Arabidopsis thaliana: one gene and its partners. The protein of the gene in region 1 interacts with the protein of each later gene in a pairwise test. Each region holds a gene or a part of one and is shown in the gene's direction. Other genes may lie near its edges. The genes, in order: AT1G67865, PRA1.B2, AT1G14340 and AT3G43230.

Region 1 (3,930 bases):
TGATTATGTACCCAAATAATACATTTATAAGATGTATGTGTGTGATGGACATGTTTCTGTATCGTACCAAAACTAAATAGGTGGCTTTTATCCCAAAAAAGTGCTTTCGTTTGATGACCTTATGATTTCTAAAGAGTGTTGTTGTTGCTGCTTATGTTTAATAAAAGTGATGTATATTATCAGTTGATTTCCCCACGTGGAAGGGGTGATTATATTGCACAAAATTAAGTTAAAAGTAACATTGTGGTGTAATAAAAACCCTAGTGAATTTATAACCTATAAGTAAGTGGTGCAGTAGTGAATTTATAACTTATAAGTAATTTATAACTTCTTTCACCTCCAAAAAAAAAAGAAAAAAAACATCTGTTTTAAAATAAACTTCACATTCTTGGATTCCGTTTGTAATAACTAATGTTTTACACTGTGAAGAAAAAAAACTTTACATCGTTTAATCAAAAAAAAAAAACTGTTGATTAAAAAAATGAACTTCTACATTGTCAATAATGATTTTTAATTACATTTTATAATCTGGTCTTTTTAGACCAAGTCTATTCCTGAGTCCAATAAAAATATGAGTTTCGAGATGACGGATGGCTAAGCAAGAAAGTTAGATAAGTTCACGTTTGAGGCGATTTTTATTATTTTTTTAGACCCATAAAATGAATCCTCAACAACACAAAACCGCCACTTGGTTAAGAGAGACTCTAAAATTTGCGCATTAGAAGCAATTTCCATCGTAACGATTGAAGAGGGAGGCCATTGCACAACGGAGATGAACCTAACATTGACCATATCCACGCATATTTTCGTATGTTCTTTGATAATGTTGCGGTCAAAACACGCCAATTTGATCAATTATTAAAGGCATCTAGTTCGACTGAATAACCAATAGTAGTTATCGTTTACCGTTCTCTCTTTCTTTATATGGGAATATATACGTTGGCAACTCTCCTCTAAACCCATTGGCCCACCTCTTTATATTTTACAAAGTTATTTTTCCTTCTACTTGTTGAATATATATTGAACCGTGCGTCTCTAGTTTTAATCTTCCAAGAACATTTGGCCCAAACCTGGAATAAGAAAGAAGAAATAATAGAAAGATATCCAATTCAGCCTGATCCAATGATTATTAACCTGACACCTGACATGGACAGCGAACCAAGCTATCTTCCGAGTTATAGGGCTGTCAGGATCGACCCAGATTGACCGTGGCTCAACTGATGGATGAACATGTTAAAAATATTTACATATTTTATGATTTCTAACACCATCATCATGGTGACAACCATCTTGCATTTACTTGATGAGATCTAGCCAACTTTCTGGTATATTTGGTGGGCTTCCTCCGATTTTCAAAGTACATATCGGATTATCGGTTGTATATGTGTTATGTTAGGCACGTTTCACTAAATTTTTGGAATAGTTCCTTTAATAGCAAATGTTTTGATCTTTTCAGTTTCGTGGATTGATGTGGGATGCTACTTAAGTGGTGTATTTTTCTATCCAAATTGAATTTATCATCATTTTACTTATGGTTACCAAAGCTGAAAGTAATCCCTACGGTCACCACAATCACCGTTACTTCTCTTGGAGGTTCTCTTCTTTGCTTCGTCTAAGGATCATTGGTTTGTCTCCAATATTCTAACACAAGTCTTCTTTCCTCATCTTCTTCCTACTTAATCTCGGTATTTTTTAACCCTCACCATTGAATATCCCATGGTCTTTAGACTTCTTGTGTTACTTCCCACTTTTCGCTAACGTGGCCGGCTTACTCATGTCATGCACGTTACGTGGCTATTAGCAAAGAACAAAAAAAAAAAAAAAAAAGTTACACAACGCTTCGTCGAAATCCAAAAATGAATGAAAATTTTAACTCAAACAAATTTAATATAAAATCAAATAAAATCCGTAATAAATAGAACTAGACTAGGTTTAATTTCCAGTTTCATTATTATGCTTCCATTAATACTCAGCCAATTCCGAAATGTTCCCATATGAATAGGACTGATCTTTAATTTAAAAGACGAACGGAATTAGAACAAACATGACTATTCAACTTTCGTGGTAGAAAAGAGAATAAGATTCATATGATCGTACGATGATATTTCGAATAATCTCCAAAGGGAATAACATTTTCTTCTTTTACCTCATAGAAATCTGTTTTTTAAAATAAACTTTACACTGTCATTAACGTTTTTTTTTTAATAATCGGGACTAGGTCTTTGTCGACCGAAGTCCAAACTAATTCCTGAGCCAAGTATTAATATGAGTTTTATTGCCACTGAAAGCGTCGACGAGTGGCTAAGCGGGATAGTTAGATAATTCCACGTTTAAGGAAATTCTTTTCATGGACTAGACCAACAATGAGAATCCGCTATCACTTGGTTAAGAGAGACTCTTCAAACTTTGCAAGCATTAGATGCAATTTCCATCATAACGATTGAAGAGACCATTCCACGAAGGAGATGGGCCTTACACTAAACTTATCCACACATCTTTTCTAATGTTCGTTACTAGTATTGCTGTCAAAACATGCCTTTTTGGACTAAACATTAGTTGATACACATACAACATCTATTTTTGAGGGTCTATAGGGTCTGATTTTTTAAAGAAAACGTGTCCGTAGACAGAAACCTCCTTAGTTTGGATCTTTCCCATGTGATCATTATTAAAAACGACGAACGGAATTAGAACAAACATATCTATTCAACTTTCGGTAGTGATGGTACTAAGAGAATAAGATTCAGATCATAAAAAAGGGAACTATATACAAGAAATTTTTTCTATATATAGAAAACATCTGAAAGATTAAAACACTTATCCATATCAAAGAAAACTAACACAAGTAGATAAATATAAAGAAAAATGCTTGATAAGCTTATTATTGGGGTTGCCGGAGGGATTACCGGAGGGATTCTTGGAACGGTCGATGGGTTTGCCAAAGGGGTCGGGATATGGCCCAATAATTATCAGAGCACCGGTCGCTTCGAGAACAACAATATGACGAGTCCGGGAAACTACGGCAATGGTAATGGCGGTGCAGTGAAGGCATCCGAGAACTCCGGCGGCCGCCGCCAGAAAGACAGGGAGTAAAGGACTCCTGACCACACCCAGTAATGATTATGTATCCAAAATAATAAATGTATACGATGTATGTATAAGATGGACATGTTTCAGTATCTTACCAAAAATATAGGAGACTTTTAATGAAAAGTCTTCTTGTTTAATTTTATGAACTTTATGATTAATAAAAGGAGTGTGTTTAATAAAAGTGATGTATATTAACAGTTATTTCCACACGTGAAAAGATTGAATTTATTTGCACACAATTAAGTTTGAAAAGTAACGTTATGGTGTAACGAAAACCCTAATGAATTTATAAGTTACGTAGTGCAGTAGGATATGTCGTTTTAATGTTTCTGGTTCATCTAAATAATTAGATAATTTATTTTGCATTTATCGACCAAAACTTTAAGCTCATAGATTTGATTCAAACAAGTAATTCATTTACTAAATTAGACGGATCATAGGATTTTTTGTTGATTCGATTAGCCTTTTCAGTTATGCAATGTTCTTGAGGGAAACACAAACACAGATAGCATATTTGGCGACAGCGTCTGCCTTTTGAATTGGAAAGACGAGAAATATAACTAAAGGAGATAGAACGGAAACAACCTTGAAGCTGTCGAATTTCTTGAAGAATTCCATGAATGTCATTGATAGAGTTGTCTACACTTTTATCTCAAAAATCAAACGAACCTTACACAAGCAATGTTTTTTTTTTTTCCAATAATCAGAGTCTTCCTAAATCCAAAGTCTAGACTAATTCTTGAACTTAATACTAATAGAAATGTTTTCTTGCAATTTACAGCGTTATGGAGTCTAAGTTGAATAGTTAGATTATTACACTTTTATAAGGCTTTATTTTCT
Region 2 (3,562 bases), on another chromosome or scaffold:
ATGGGTGTGATGAATTTGGAGAGCAAATACACATGGACATTAAATTTCCTTTCCATAGAGAAAGAGGAGGAAGAGTTTGAAGCCAAGCAAACGCATCAGGTGTGTCACAAGAAGCCATTAGAGCTAATATTGAATATCTAGTTGTTGTTCTAGATATGTGTGGTATAGAGAGTATATGATTAGAAGACTAGATTTATCATTTATATATAGAGAGAACATTTTAATGAGTGGAAGAAAAGTAAAGGAAGAAAGATTCGCTTATTTTTTTCAAAAGGTAAGCTAAACAAAATCATGAACTATTTTACGTAAACCAGAAAATATAGAGCTACGCACGAACACGAGACGTCTCTTTAGTAAAATATTGAAAATTTGAAATGTGATAATGATTAAGAGTCCTGCAAATTATGAGATAACGTACAAGGAAAAAGGTTTAGATGATAATTAGAGTAGCTAGACCGTTAAGAGGGATGTAATTAAATTGATAAAGTACGTGCTATTCAAGATTCTTCCATATGTGGATTTCAACCCGAATTTCCAAGAAATATTCTTGATTAGGCCGACGAATATTGTTATTCGATGCCTCTATTCTACTCAATAATGTTTCTTCGTCTTTATTTAGTTTACTAATTATATGTTTGATACATAAATAAATACGAATTATGGAGTGTGTTTGTATATACATAAATACGAATACGAATTATGGAGTGTGTTCAAATAATTATACATAAATAAATAAATACGAATTATGAATTATATACAAATATAAATTATATACACTTGAAGCCTGACGATTACAATAGCAGCTGATCATTATCTTCGGGGTGAATTCAAATTATGGATTGTGTTTGATTTCCTCAAGTCTTAATTTTCATCTACTTTTCAAACGACTAATTAATAGTGGCTACATAACTAACGACTCGATGATAAACACTCCAAAAAGCAATCAATCACTTGAGCAAAAGTTCAAAAGAAAACACTCCAAAAAGCAAACGCAAACACCAAACAAAACAAAACTCAAGTAGAGTTTTAGATAAAGCAACAGTAGAATTTTAGAAAAACCAAATTAAAACACCAAGTGTTTATGCCAAATAAATTGGCTAGACGAAGCAAAACAAGAACACATTATTGATAGTGTAGATTTGGAGTTCACTAATTGATAGTGCAACGTTTGAGTTCAACATTGCCTAGGCTGAGTGAGAATATCTTATTGTTTCCATCCACGAATTTGAGAAAGTAACTACATGTTACCTTTACCTTCTTGTTATTCTCGTCAACCTCATTTATCTCGGTCATCTCAACATGAACAAGTTCCGCAAACCTCCATTTGTTTTCATTATCTCATTTTGATTGTCCCAATCATGTCAAACTCATCTTTTATCGCTTGCACCCCCTTCTTCATGTAGTCTCCACCACCGGTTGCATAGGCGTCTTTAAAAATGCTCTCGAGTTCCCTCCAGTTGTCTTTGCCCCAAGTTCCTGGTGTCTCAAGACACCATAATTCATATATAACTCATAATTCATATTTATTTATGTATATAATTTGTATTTGTATATAATTCATAATTTGTTTAGCTTCAAGTGTACATAATTTGTATATAATTTAATTTCACAGTTTATAGATATATTTAGTAAACCTTTATCATTCATGATCAATTGATCATATGATTGTTTCATTTGTTCAACGAGAACACTCATAGGGTGGGAAATGAGATGATAATTATTGAAATGATCATATAAACAATTGTAGGAAGTCGTAATTTATCTGCAAATAAAATTAGAATATTATTAACTACACTAATTTACTAGTTTGTGTTGTGTTATCCTTGTAACATCATATAGATACAAACCACTGAACCAGTAAGATTGTTTGTTTGTTGAAAAAAAAAAAATGGTTTTATGAACCAATAGTGGAATATATTGGGCCTCTTCCAACATTATAGACCCATCTAAAAATTGCTATTAACTCCAACTTAATATATTGGGCCTATTCCAAAACATTATAGGCCCATAAAATTTAGGCCTTTAGAATATCTAACACGGTTTTGCCGCAACTTCAGTTTCCACTAAAATCGGAACAACAAATTCACACTCTCTCCGCCGCGCACAGACTCACCGACACCACCAATAATGTCTTCTTCTCCGGCGATTCTTCCCGTCACCAACCAGCAAGCAGCCACTCAATCTCAACCTCCAATCAATTCTCACGCCTTCCGTACTTTCCTCTCACGCCTCTCGTCCTCTCTCCGCGAAAGCCTCTCTCAACGCCGTCCATGGCTAGAACTCGTAGATCGGAGCTCCTTCGCTAGACCTGACTCTCTCACCGATTCCTTCTCCCGGATCCGTAAGAATCTCGCTTACTTCAAAGTCAATTACTCCGCAATTGTCTCGTTAGTCCTTGCTTTCTCCCTCCTCTCGCATCCATTCTCGCTTCTCGTCCTCCTCTCTCTCTTAGGCTCCTGGATGTTTCTCTACCTCTTCCGATCTTCAGATCAGCCTTTGGTTCTCTTTGGTCGTAGTTTCTCAGATCGTGAGACTTTGCTTGGTCTTGTTTTGACTACGATTGTGGTTGTGTTTATGACGAGTGTTGGATCTTTGTTAACATCGGCGTTAACGATTGGAATCGCGATTGTTTGCTTACATGGTGCGTTTAGGGTTCCTGATGATTTGTTCTTGGATGAACAAGAGCCTGCTAATGCTGGTTTACTCTCGTTCATTGGTAATTCTGCTGCTACTTCTGCTGCTGCTTCTGTTGTTGCAGGACGAGTTTGAGAAGCTCGAATTTGATGATTCTGATCCTAGAGAACAAACGAAACCTGGATTCTCAGGGTTTTTAGTTATGTTTTGAGTATAGATTCGATGAAGATCTGTAAGTGTTAGATCTAAAGATGCATTGTTGTGTTGTATTCTTCAATTTCGTCACAATTTAGAAAATTTGGAGCTGATCCTTCTCAAGTATTGTAAGATCTCATTTACCTTAAATCAATTTGATACTCTTTGCCTTCATCACCATATGTTTGAGTTAGATTTAGACTAAACCAGTGAAGATTATAGTTTGACCAAAGTATTAAGGATTAAACAAACAACATGTAGTTTAACAACATACGTGGTAGATGTAAATCTTGTAACTAGTTATGTCTATGTCTCTCTAGCTACCAACTATTTTATTCTTCCACAAGTTTCCTCTATCTCGAAAGCGAACAGCCAATACTGTGTACGAATTTGCTGATAGTAAGAGGGTTATATCATGGGAAAGTTTCCCACTGGATTTACATGTTTGGCCAATTTGACAAAAACGACACACGTTTAGTTTGGGGATTTTGTCTTAAAAACTCGGCTGCCAAAAACAAACTGAAGATTCGGTCACCTGAATTGTCTTTTTCGGTCAAAGTCTCACTGAGTTGCTTCTTTCTTAGATATAATATAGGTGACCTGTTTTTAATCTTCATAACATGAGATATATTTTCGTGGAATGAGTTGTGTCTTGTGAAATCTTTTTTCTTTGGTTTTAATGTTAAGAATGTCTTGTGAAATCTTTTCCTGGATTCTAATTATTGGTGAGAAT
Region 3 (3,835 bases), about 21 Mb from region 1:
GAGTTTGATAAAACACGTTGTAGTCTTGTTGTAGATCTCCGAATTGACGTCAACTCAATATCAAAATCTTTCACTATGAAATTCAAAATCCGAATCAAAACGTCTAACCTAGCTATAGAATATATACATTAGTCAATGGTCAACCTTTTATATTTTATTGTTATAATCATATATGGTGAAGATAATTGTATTTGGAGGACCAATATTCAACTATTTCCTGTAATTTAGAACATTTATTTTTTTCTTAAATATATGTTTTTTGCTTATATATAGTCGCAATTTTTAGAAGTTCCATAATCCATATACTTGAACTTCTAAAGCTATAGTCGCAAGCACCTTATTGTTGTTGTTTAATAAAAGTTCTAATTTTGGTAGACAAGTGAAAAAACAAAATTAAACTATCTGGTGTTTACATATATGAAAAATATACATTTCCAGCAGTGAATTTTGGTTTTGCATGAAAAATACATAAATAGCAATTCACTGCAGCAGGGGTCAGAATATAGAAACATGAACCACACACATAAAAAAAAAGTAGATTCTGACTAGATCAATCTGAATTAAAAACTAGTAAATTTTGACAGACGGACGTGGCCGTGGAAAGAAGTAGAAAGAGACAATGAGAGATGGAGAAAGAGAGACGTAAGTATTGATTTGGCCAACGGCTCATATGCAAAGAATATTAATAATAATAATGTTCTTTGCGTTTTTTTACCAATTACATCAAACATTTGTTAGGCACACGTCTTTTCTTTTTCTCCTTTTTAGTTAAGGGCATCTCCATCCATGAAAAACCCACAAAGTTTCTCAAACAAAAAAAAATTAATATTATATTATAATTTGATTTTTTGATTAAAAAAATATTTTTATTAAAAAGTTGAATCAATAATTAAAAGGGAATTATCATGATGGATTGTAGAGAATATCTCAGAGTTTCTCAAGTAAGAAACTTTCTACTCTCTCTCCTTCATTTTTATTATTTTTATTTTTTAATTGTGAGAAACTCTTATAAAAAACCCCCAATGAAAATGGTCTAACTTTCTTTTCCGTTGAATTTCTCTCATGTATTAACAGTAACATAAGTATTTATATCACATACACTTGTCAAATTTGTCTCTTTAGAGATTTTAAAAAGTTATCACTTAGAGAACTTTTACCTGTTTGGACTTTGGACGGTTAGACAGATAATATCTAAAATTACTCCAATTTTTATATATACATGCAATACTAAGGTATAAAAAAGGTTCTAGAATGTTAAAATCGTTGCTGAAAAAAAACAAAATCGTCTATAGATTGTTAATTTTTGCTTCTTGTACAAACACTTAGTAATGATTAATGATTTAATTTTAATATGTAAAGACTGATTTTTAAAATAAAAAATAGCATAAGATGAAAATTTATGTTTCAAAAAATATTTGTGATTATGGGTTGTTTGAGACTGGAAAATAATCAAACAACATTGGGCCTTTCATGTAGAATTTTTTATTACATTTAGAACCGTTAACGATATGGGCTAACTCAAGACATTAAAGGCCCAACATTGAGTTACTAAACGGCGCAGTTTTTAGCTTTTTAAAATTGCGTCTTTTTCGTTCACTGAAAAGGTAGTCCTTCTCTTTCCCACTCACATCATCAACTTCATCAATTCATCACCTTTGTCTCTCTTTCAAGCTTCTCTGTGTGTGATCTCCGTTGGTCAACAACAACTACAACAGGTAACTTCTATTCTTCGATTCCTTAAATTTCTTCTCTAGAGCTTAGTGAATCAACGATTTAGGTCTGAACATATTTGGCAATCTGTCCTTGCTCAAATTTCGCTTGAAAATTTCAATCCCAAATCATGTAAAGCTAAATCGGAAAGTTCTATGTAGTTCCCAAAGTTGAATCACGAACTGGAAGTAATTTAATTTATTGACTTAGGATATGTTGAAATTTTTAGGTTTTTTGTTTTGTTTTTAGCTTATTGAGCAGAGATGGATCATCAATTTGGATATGGTGTTGAAGTTACTGGGTTATCTCCATCTGTTACTCATAATGATCTTATCGATTTCTTCTCTTTCTCTGGTACTATCCAAGATATTGATATTGTCAGGTGAGTCTTTTTACTTTTTAGCAAGTTTGTTGTTTGTTTGCTTATTCTGGATTCAAAAGAGTACACTTTGTAATGTTGTTAATGAGACTAGGTCGGGTGAGCAAGCTTGTACTGCTTATGTGATGTTTAAGGATTCTTATTCTCAAGAAACTGCTGTTTTACTCACTGTAAGTGTTAGTTTGGATTTGATTCACTCTTTCTATCTTTTTTGGATGTCTCTTGAGAAATCACTCACTTCTTTGATATCTTCAGGGCGCAACGATATTGGATCAGCGTGTTTGTATAACTCGTTGGGGACAACATCACGAAGAGTTCGATTTCTGGAATGCGACTTCGCGAGGTTTTGAAGATGAATCGGACTCACAAGTATGTATCGCTTTTGACACTTCTCTCAACTTTGATCTTTCTGTCTTCTTTTTTTGTTAAAATAGTTAAATCTAACGGTCACTGGTTCAGTAGTCTTTATGTTGAAGTTTGATGCTTGGTCTCAATTCTAAAGCTTATTCGTTCTTCAATCATGTAGCATTATGCTCAACGAAGCGAGTTCAACGCTGGAGAAGCAGTGACAAAAGCTCAAGAAGTGGTGAAAATAATGCTTGCCACAGGATTCGTGCTAGGCAAAGACGCTTTAAGCAAAGCTAAAGCCTTTGATGAATCCCACGGCGTATCAGCTGCAGCGGTGGCTAGAGTATCTCAACTAGAACAGAGGATTGGTCTTACTGACAAAATCTTTACCGGACTTGAAGCTGTTAGAATGACTGACCAAAGGTATCATGTTTCAGATACAGCTAAATCAGCTGTCTTTGCCACAGGAAGAACCGCGGCAGCAGCTGCAACTAGTGTTGTCAATAGCAGTTACTTCTCCAGCGGAGCTCTTTGGCTGTCTGGTGCATTAGAGAGAGCTGCTAAAGCCGCATCTGATCTCGGTACCCGCGGCTCAAGGCAGTGAATAGACCAATGGCCCGATTCAGAACCGTATTCGTCTGTGAATATATATGATGCAAAGCTGATCATGAATAACTGGCTCATGAAGTGTGATAAGACCAAATTTTATCAAAACGAATACCATATAGAAATCTATCAAAGTATACTCTCACATGATGATGCTGATATAGAGTTTGGTTACATTACCTACATCTTAACTCTTCATTAGTAGCATAATCTTTTTTCTTATATAATTTCTGATTTATATCATTCTATGGTTGATATTGATTCAATATTTGGATAGATGTTGTATCCATAGAGCTTAGGCCACGTGGCACAATTTGCGCCAAAAAATCAAATCCAAAAAACAGAGAAGTCATCATCTTTTCACTCCAAATCTTCCAGTCACTCAAATCATTCTCTCATGGCAGCTTCTTCCTCAATTCCGCCGTCAACCGCCGTAACCTCCGTCGTTCGCAAATCTCTCCTCCTCTCAACCACCTTCTCCTTCCCCGCTTCTTCATTGTCTCCCTCCACGAAACTACCACAAAGACACATTCAAAGATTGCTCCTAGCTTCCTCCTCCGCATCCGCATCCACCGTTCCTTCCGATTCCAAACCGGCGAAGAAAGAAACAGTCTACTTCGACGGCGGAGCTCATTACGGAGATCTATTAGCCAATCTCATTCTAGGTCTAACCATCCTTTGGCTCCCACTAACCTTAGCTGCAGTGTCTCGAGCTTTTAACCTTCGTTACAGGTTCACTAACCTCCGCGTGACGGTTATTTCGGGACTCACCGGAGATGATCGGAGCGATTT
Region 4 (5,032 bases), on another chromosome or scaffold:
CCTTAGATAAATAGGTTGTTCTCCATGGCGTTGCTGGTTCCTTCATATTATTATTTATTATAACAGGGTCAAGATCAATCCACGCAGCAAAGCAACAATGCAAAGTTTGGTTCATTCAAGGACACCCGACTAAAGACATTTCTAAAACATGAATGGTTTATGCTCAAATGAGCTTATTAACATAAAAATCTAAGATTAAAACTACAATAGTTCAATGAGCTTTATTGAAATGTAAAGATGAGAAAGGAAGAAGCTTTAGGTTTGTTACCAAGAACACTAACACTTCAGATTTGATTTCATAAAATGGTGAAGGAGGAGAGTTGTTCCAAATGACAACTCTCTAGGTTAATCACAATGTTCACAATACATGACTATATATATGAGAGACTACTTGCTAGATAACCTAATTACATGTGCTTGTATGGGCTTCTATATAGATAATAGCTTGGGCTTTATGTGTGCTCTAATATTTCTCCGCAAACTTGGCGTGGTGCGAAAGCAACATGACAAGTTTGAACTTCAAATGAAATGTCAGCACAAATGGAGATGACTTGACAAGAGCATGAGTAGACAAAGCAAGATCACTTGGATGTAGATAGTAGCATCTCTTCACCATAAAATCAGTCTTTAGTGTGACAACTTTTCAGGTTCTTTTGACCTATTTGTCTCACGAAGAAACCGAGTTTTCTTTATCTGGTTTAACTCCCCTAAGCTGTCCCATGAAGAAGAAGAATTCTCTTCCCACAACTACTTAGATCCTACTTGCTATCTGCTTTTTATTCTTTAGCCAACCACAATTTGCATTTACACAATCTGTTTTTCTCTTTGACATTTTATCAAACAGCTTCTATGCGCTCAGCAAAACCAGAAACTTGCTCCCTTAAACACATCCTTATCAAACCCAAGTAAGTTATGTTGCATTCTAGCTTCTTAAATTCCACGTCTATAAATCTAAGCCACCAGCGGAATCACTAAACAAATGACTACTCTCATGATCTAACCCTATATCTCTAGCCATGTTTCCCTCTTTTTTTTCTCAACCCATCAATAACCTTTGTTCTGTCTCAGATGAAAGGACAAATTCATTACCTTGAATAGTGTTGTTGTGGTTACTTGATGGGATTGAGATAGAAAGGGCTTGAAAACACGATATGTGATATTTATACTTTGCCTCTTCTTTGTCGCAAATGTCTTTTAGTTTGGAGCATTCTCTATTCACATCATCCAATGGAGAATAGCGACGTTTGCAACACCTTGGCGTTTTCATTCACAAGCTCTGACGCCAAGAAACGCAAAACCAGAAGAGCGGAAGCTAGAAGCTTGTGAAAATAAGACCCAAATCAATCGCCTAGGCTCTGATACCATGAAGACATTTCTAAAACATGAATGGTTTATGCTCAAATGAGCTTATTAACATAGAAATCTAAGATTGAAAATACAATAGCTCAATGACCTTTTATCGAAATATAAAGAAGAGAAAGAAAGAAGCTTTAGGTTTTTCACCAAAAAACACTAACACTTTATATTTGATTTCACAAAATGATGAAGAAGGAGAGTTGTTCCAAATGACAACTCTCTAGGTTAATCACAATGCTCACAAACATAACTATATATGTGAGAGACTACTTGCTAGATAACCTAATTACATGGGTTTGGATGAGCGTTTATAAAGATAATAGTTTGGATTTTATGTGTGCTCTAATACCGACATGCATGCAATAAACGACCCCACACGACACATGCAAGAAACCAGAGGCCAGCCTCTTAAACATACTTAAAATGGCTTTACAAAGATAGACCGCATGAAAAAAAGACAGAGAACTTGAGCCGATATCACTATGGTCTAACTTCTAACTTTCTAATAAGTATATAAACATGTAGTGATTACCAAGTAAATTAATTTATCAAATATTCACTTTTTGAATCGTTTCAAGCAATAGCCAAAAAAATATTGAAAGGCTCAAGGCCCATTGGGCCCTCACATATATACGAAGTCTATAATGACTTGCTTACCGGAAAACCGAAATAAATGGAATAAAATATTCCCCGAGGCGCCGTGTTCTTGTTGCTTGCTACTTATCTTCTTCTTCAATCCCATAAATCGGATTTGCAAAATTTTCTTAACCTAATTCGTTTCTTCGCGATCAAACCACAGGTATTTTCTCCTATCGATTCCTGAAATTAAATCTTTTGATTTTGTAGTTCCCAAGATTCTCTGTGATTTTTGTAATTCCTCGTCTTCCGATTCGAATTCAAATCAAAGCTACGGCTTCTTTATTAGGGTTTCAATAGTTATGTAGTTTTATTAGAAACTTTTGATTGATTGATTGATTAGGTCTTCGAAAATCTGCGTTTTGATATAAATATATGTTCTACTTTTGCAGATTTTTCAATTTTAGTGAAGTTTCATTTTTTAAGGCATGGCTACTCTCAACGGAAAAGCTTCTCCGTATTCTGAAGAAAACATCAAATTCAAGTATGATGATTATGATGATGATGATGATGATGATGATGGTAGTGGTAGTGGTAGTGGTGGTGGTTATGAAGATGGACCTAAATGGTCTGTTCAATCAATCCCCACAAAGAAAGAGGTGGAGTATCCGATTATCGACTCAGGAGATTACGTTGACGACGGATATGATTCATCCGGCGAGCTCTCTACAACGACGACGCCGCCGATTCAAGGAAATGAGAAACCTGAAGTTAACTTGAAAAACGTTTTAACTGGGTTGATTGCTATTGTTACTGGACGGAATAAGAATCCGTTAGATCAGAAAAACCCGTCTTCGAATGTTTCGTTTCTTGGCTCTGGCACGAACGGGGATACTTTTGTTCATTCGTCTGTTTACATACCGAGTGCTCCGCCTCTACTTGAACCTAGTGGGATAAACTATAGTGTTTACAAGGAGTTGCTTGAAGCTGAACCTCCTGAGTGGCTACCTGATAGTTTAGCTAGTACTTGCATGCAGTGTTCTACTCCTTTTACTGCAATTACGTGTGGTAGGCATCATTGTCGGTTCTGCGGAGGGATATTTTGTAGAAACTGTTCGAAAGGGCGGTGTTTGATGCCTAGTCGGTTTCGGGAAAGGAATCCTCAGAGAGTGTGTGATTCTTGCTACGAGAGGCTTGATCCTTTGCAATGTGTTCTTATTAACTCTATTAGTAATGCTGTGCAAGTTGCAAAGCATGATGTTGTTGATTGGACTTGCTCAAGAGGATGGTTGAATCTCCCTGTTGGTCTATCCATGGAAGATGAGATATACAAGGCTGCTAATACGTTGAGAGGTTACTGCCAGGTTTGATTCTCATCCTTTGTTTTTTCAAGTACATATTTGTTCTGTAGAGATGTTCGAGTAGAGAAAATTGAGTATCAAATGTTACGGTGCACATTCCATGTTTGTAAGTGTCTGTTTAATTAGTTACCGAATTACACAGGTAGCAAGACTAGACCCTGAGAAATCCATACCGCATGCTGTTCTTAGTCGAGCTAAAGGTTTGGCAATCATAACGGTTGCCAAGGCTGGGGCTTTACTGTCATACAAACTCGGGACTGGTCTGGTAATATCTCGGAGACCAGACGGGTCATGGTCTGCTCCATCTGCCATACTATCAGTAGGTCTTGGATGGGGTGCACAGGTAAACTTCATCTTTTCCATTCAAGACATGCATGTTAGAGTTAAAGATGCGTTTTCAATAGCCACATAAGAAGATTTGTACTCTTTTTGTCAGATTGGAGGTGAGTTGATGGACTTCATAATAGTGCTTCATGATGTGAAAGCCGTGAAGACATTCTGCAGCAGAATGCACTTCTCTCTAGGCGCGGGATGCAGTGCAGCAGCAGGGCCTATCGGGAGAGTGTTGGAGGCTGACCTTCGAGCTGGTGACAAAGGCTCTGGTGTCTGCTATACTTACAGCCGCAGCAAAGGTTTTCCCCATCTCAACTTCATGCCTTAAGTTTTCTCTTTATCTATAATTTGGCCAGACTCGTAGCTCAATAATACAGAGGAAGTTGAAATGTAAATCTATAACCTGAGAGAAGTTGTTGTGTTGTGTGAACAGGGGCATTTGTGGGAGTATCTCTAGAAGGAAATCTGGTGGCAACAAGAAGGGACATGAATGTAAAGTTCTATGGTGATCCATACCTATCCACATCGGACATTCTACTTGGGATGGTGGATCAACCCAAGGCAGCTGAACCGTTGTACACCGCCCTCCGAGAGCTCTATGCTCGTTTGCGCCCGTAATCTCCATTCACATTACAAACTACGCTTTGTATATATACGCTTCTCAAATTCGTTTCTATTAAAGTGTAAATGTACATAAATTGTTTCTCTCTAGAACCAAACAGTTGCTTCCCCAAACTGTGTGAACGATTTGGGATTTACTTATTTTATCAAAGCTTGTTTACCTTTTTGAAGCTTGTTTATCAAAGCTTGGTTCTATTTGCATGTCTATTCATTTGTTACAGATAAAATGATATTGGCAAGTCCCTTAAATATGATGCAAAATCTATAACGTTCACTATTTTTACATTCTCCGATTCATTATAAAGATAATGGAAAGAAAAAAAACCTTGCATTGCAAAAAAACTCGTGAAACATTAGAGGAATCAATCAATCATTTGGTTCCAAGGCAAAAGTACAACAAAAGAAGAAACATGAACCTAAGGTACAAAGCTAAGGTACAAGCAAGCCACCGTTGGAGGTCTTCTGAGACTTCTTCCTGTAATTTGAGACACTACAATTTGGGCACACATATTCCAACCCATCTGTTTTTGCATAGTCCTGTATATATCATATGTTGCATCAGTACACATATTATTCATTGATGCTTATTACGAGTTTACGATGTGTTCGTTTAGTTACCTTGAAGGCGCCGAGGCCAGGCCTTCTGTCACATCCGAAATGAGCCCACTCTCCACATGATCCACAGTTCACCCAGTCACCAGCTGTGCTACTGTTTCAACCAAACCAAACCAAAGCGCGTTAACAAACAAGGCGTTATTAACCGTGTACACAAGAGAGAGAGAGGG

What was found.
Region 2: the proteins of AT1G67865 (region 1) and PRA1.B2 interact in a two-hybrid assay, tested with the Arabidopsis thaliana proteins (one large-scale study listed by BioGRID).
Region 3: the proteins of AT1G67865 (region 1) and AT1G14340 interact in a two-hybrid assay, tested with the Arabidopsis thaliana proteins (one large-scale study listed by BioGRID).
Region 4: the proteins of AT1G67865 (region 1) and AT3G43230 interact in a two-hybrid assay, tested with the Arabidopsis thaliana proteins (one large-scale study listed by BioGRID).

What each region holds. Positions count from the first base shown.
Region 1 is NC_003070.9:25,445,623-25,449,552, reverse strand, and holds AT1G67865 (uncharacterized protein), read left to right. Parts: upstream 1-1,930; 5' UTR 1,931-2,044; intron 2,045-2,600; exon of another isoform or gene 2,601-2,698; 5' UTR 2,699-2,865; coding exon 2,866-3,093; 3' UTR 3,094-3,376; downstream 3,377-3,930.
Region 2 is NC_003071.7:16,863,941-16,867,502, reverse strand, and holds PRA1.B2 (prenylated RAB acceptor 1.B2), read left to right. Parts: upstream 1-1,915; 5' UTR 1,916-2,127; coding exon 2,128-2,769; 3' UTR 2,770-3,057; downstream 3,058-3,562. Other genes in the region: AT2G40390 (neuronal PAS domain protein), read right to left, coding at 1-118. UniProt on the Arabidopsis thaliana protein: May be involved in both secretory and endocytic intracellular trafficking in the endosomal/prevacuolar compartments.
Region 3 is NC_003070.9:4,895,736-4,899,570, forward strand, and holds AT1G14340 (RNA-binding (RRM/RBD/RNP motifs) family protein), read left to right. Parts: upstream 1-1,610; 5' UTR 1,611-1,715; intron 1,716-1,959; 5' UTR 1,960-1,973; coding exon 1,974-2,092; intron 2,093-2,183; coding exon 2,184-2,259; intron 2,260-2,344; coding exon 2,345-2,458; intron 2,459-2,615; coding exon 2,616-3,041; 3' UTR 3,042-3,300; downstream 3,301-3,835. Other genes in the region: AT1G14345 (NAD(P)-linked oxidoreductase superfamily protein), read left to right, coding at 3,441-3,835.
Region 4 is NC_003074.8:15,205,356-15,210,387, forward strand, and holds AT3G43230 (RING/FYVE/PHD-type zinc finger family protein), read left to right. Parts: upstream 1-2,011; 5' UTR 2,012-2,155; intron 2,156-2,384; 5' UTR 2,385-2,420; coding exon 2,421-3,296; intron 3,297-3,435; coding exon 3,436-3,636; intron 3,637-3,729; coding exon 3,730-3,925; intron 3,926-4,059; coding exon 4,060-4,244; 3' UTR 4,245-4,498; downstream 4,499-5,032. Other genes in the region: AT3G43240 (ARID/BRIGHT DNA-binding domain-containing protein), read right to left, coding at 4,677-4,784, 4,866-4,956.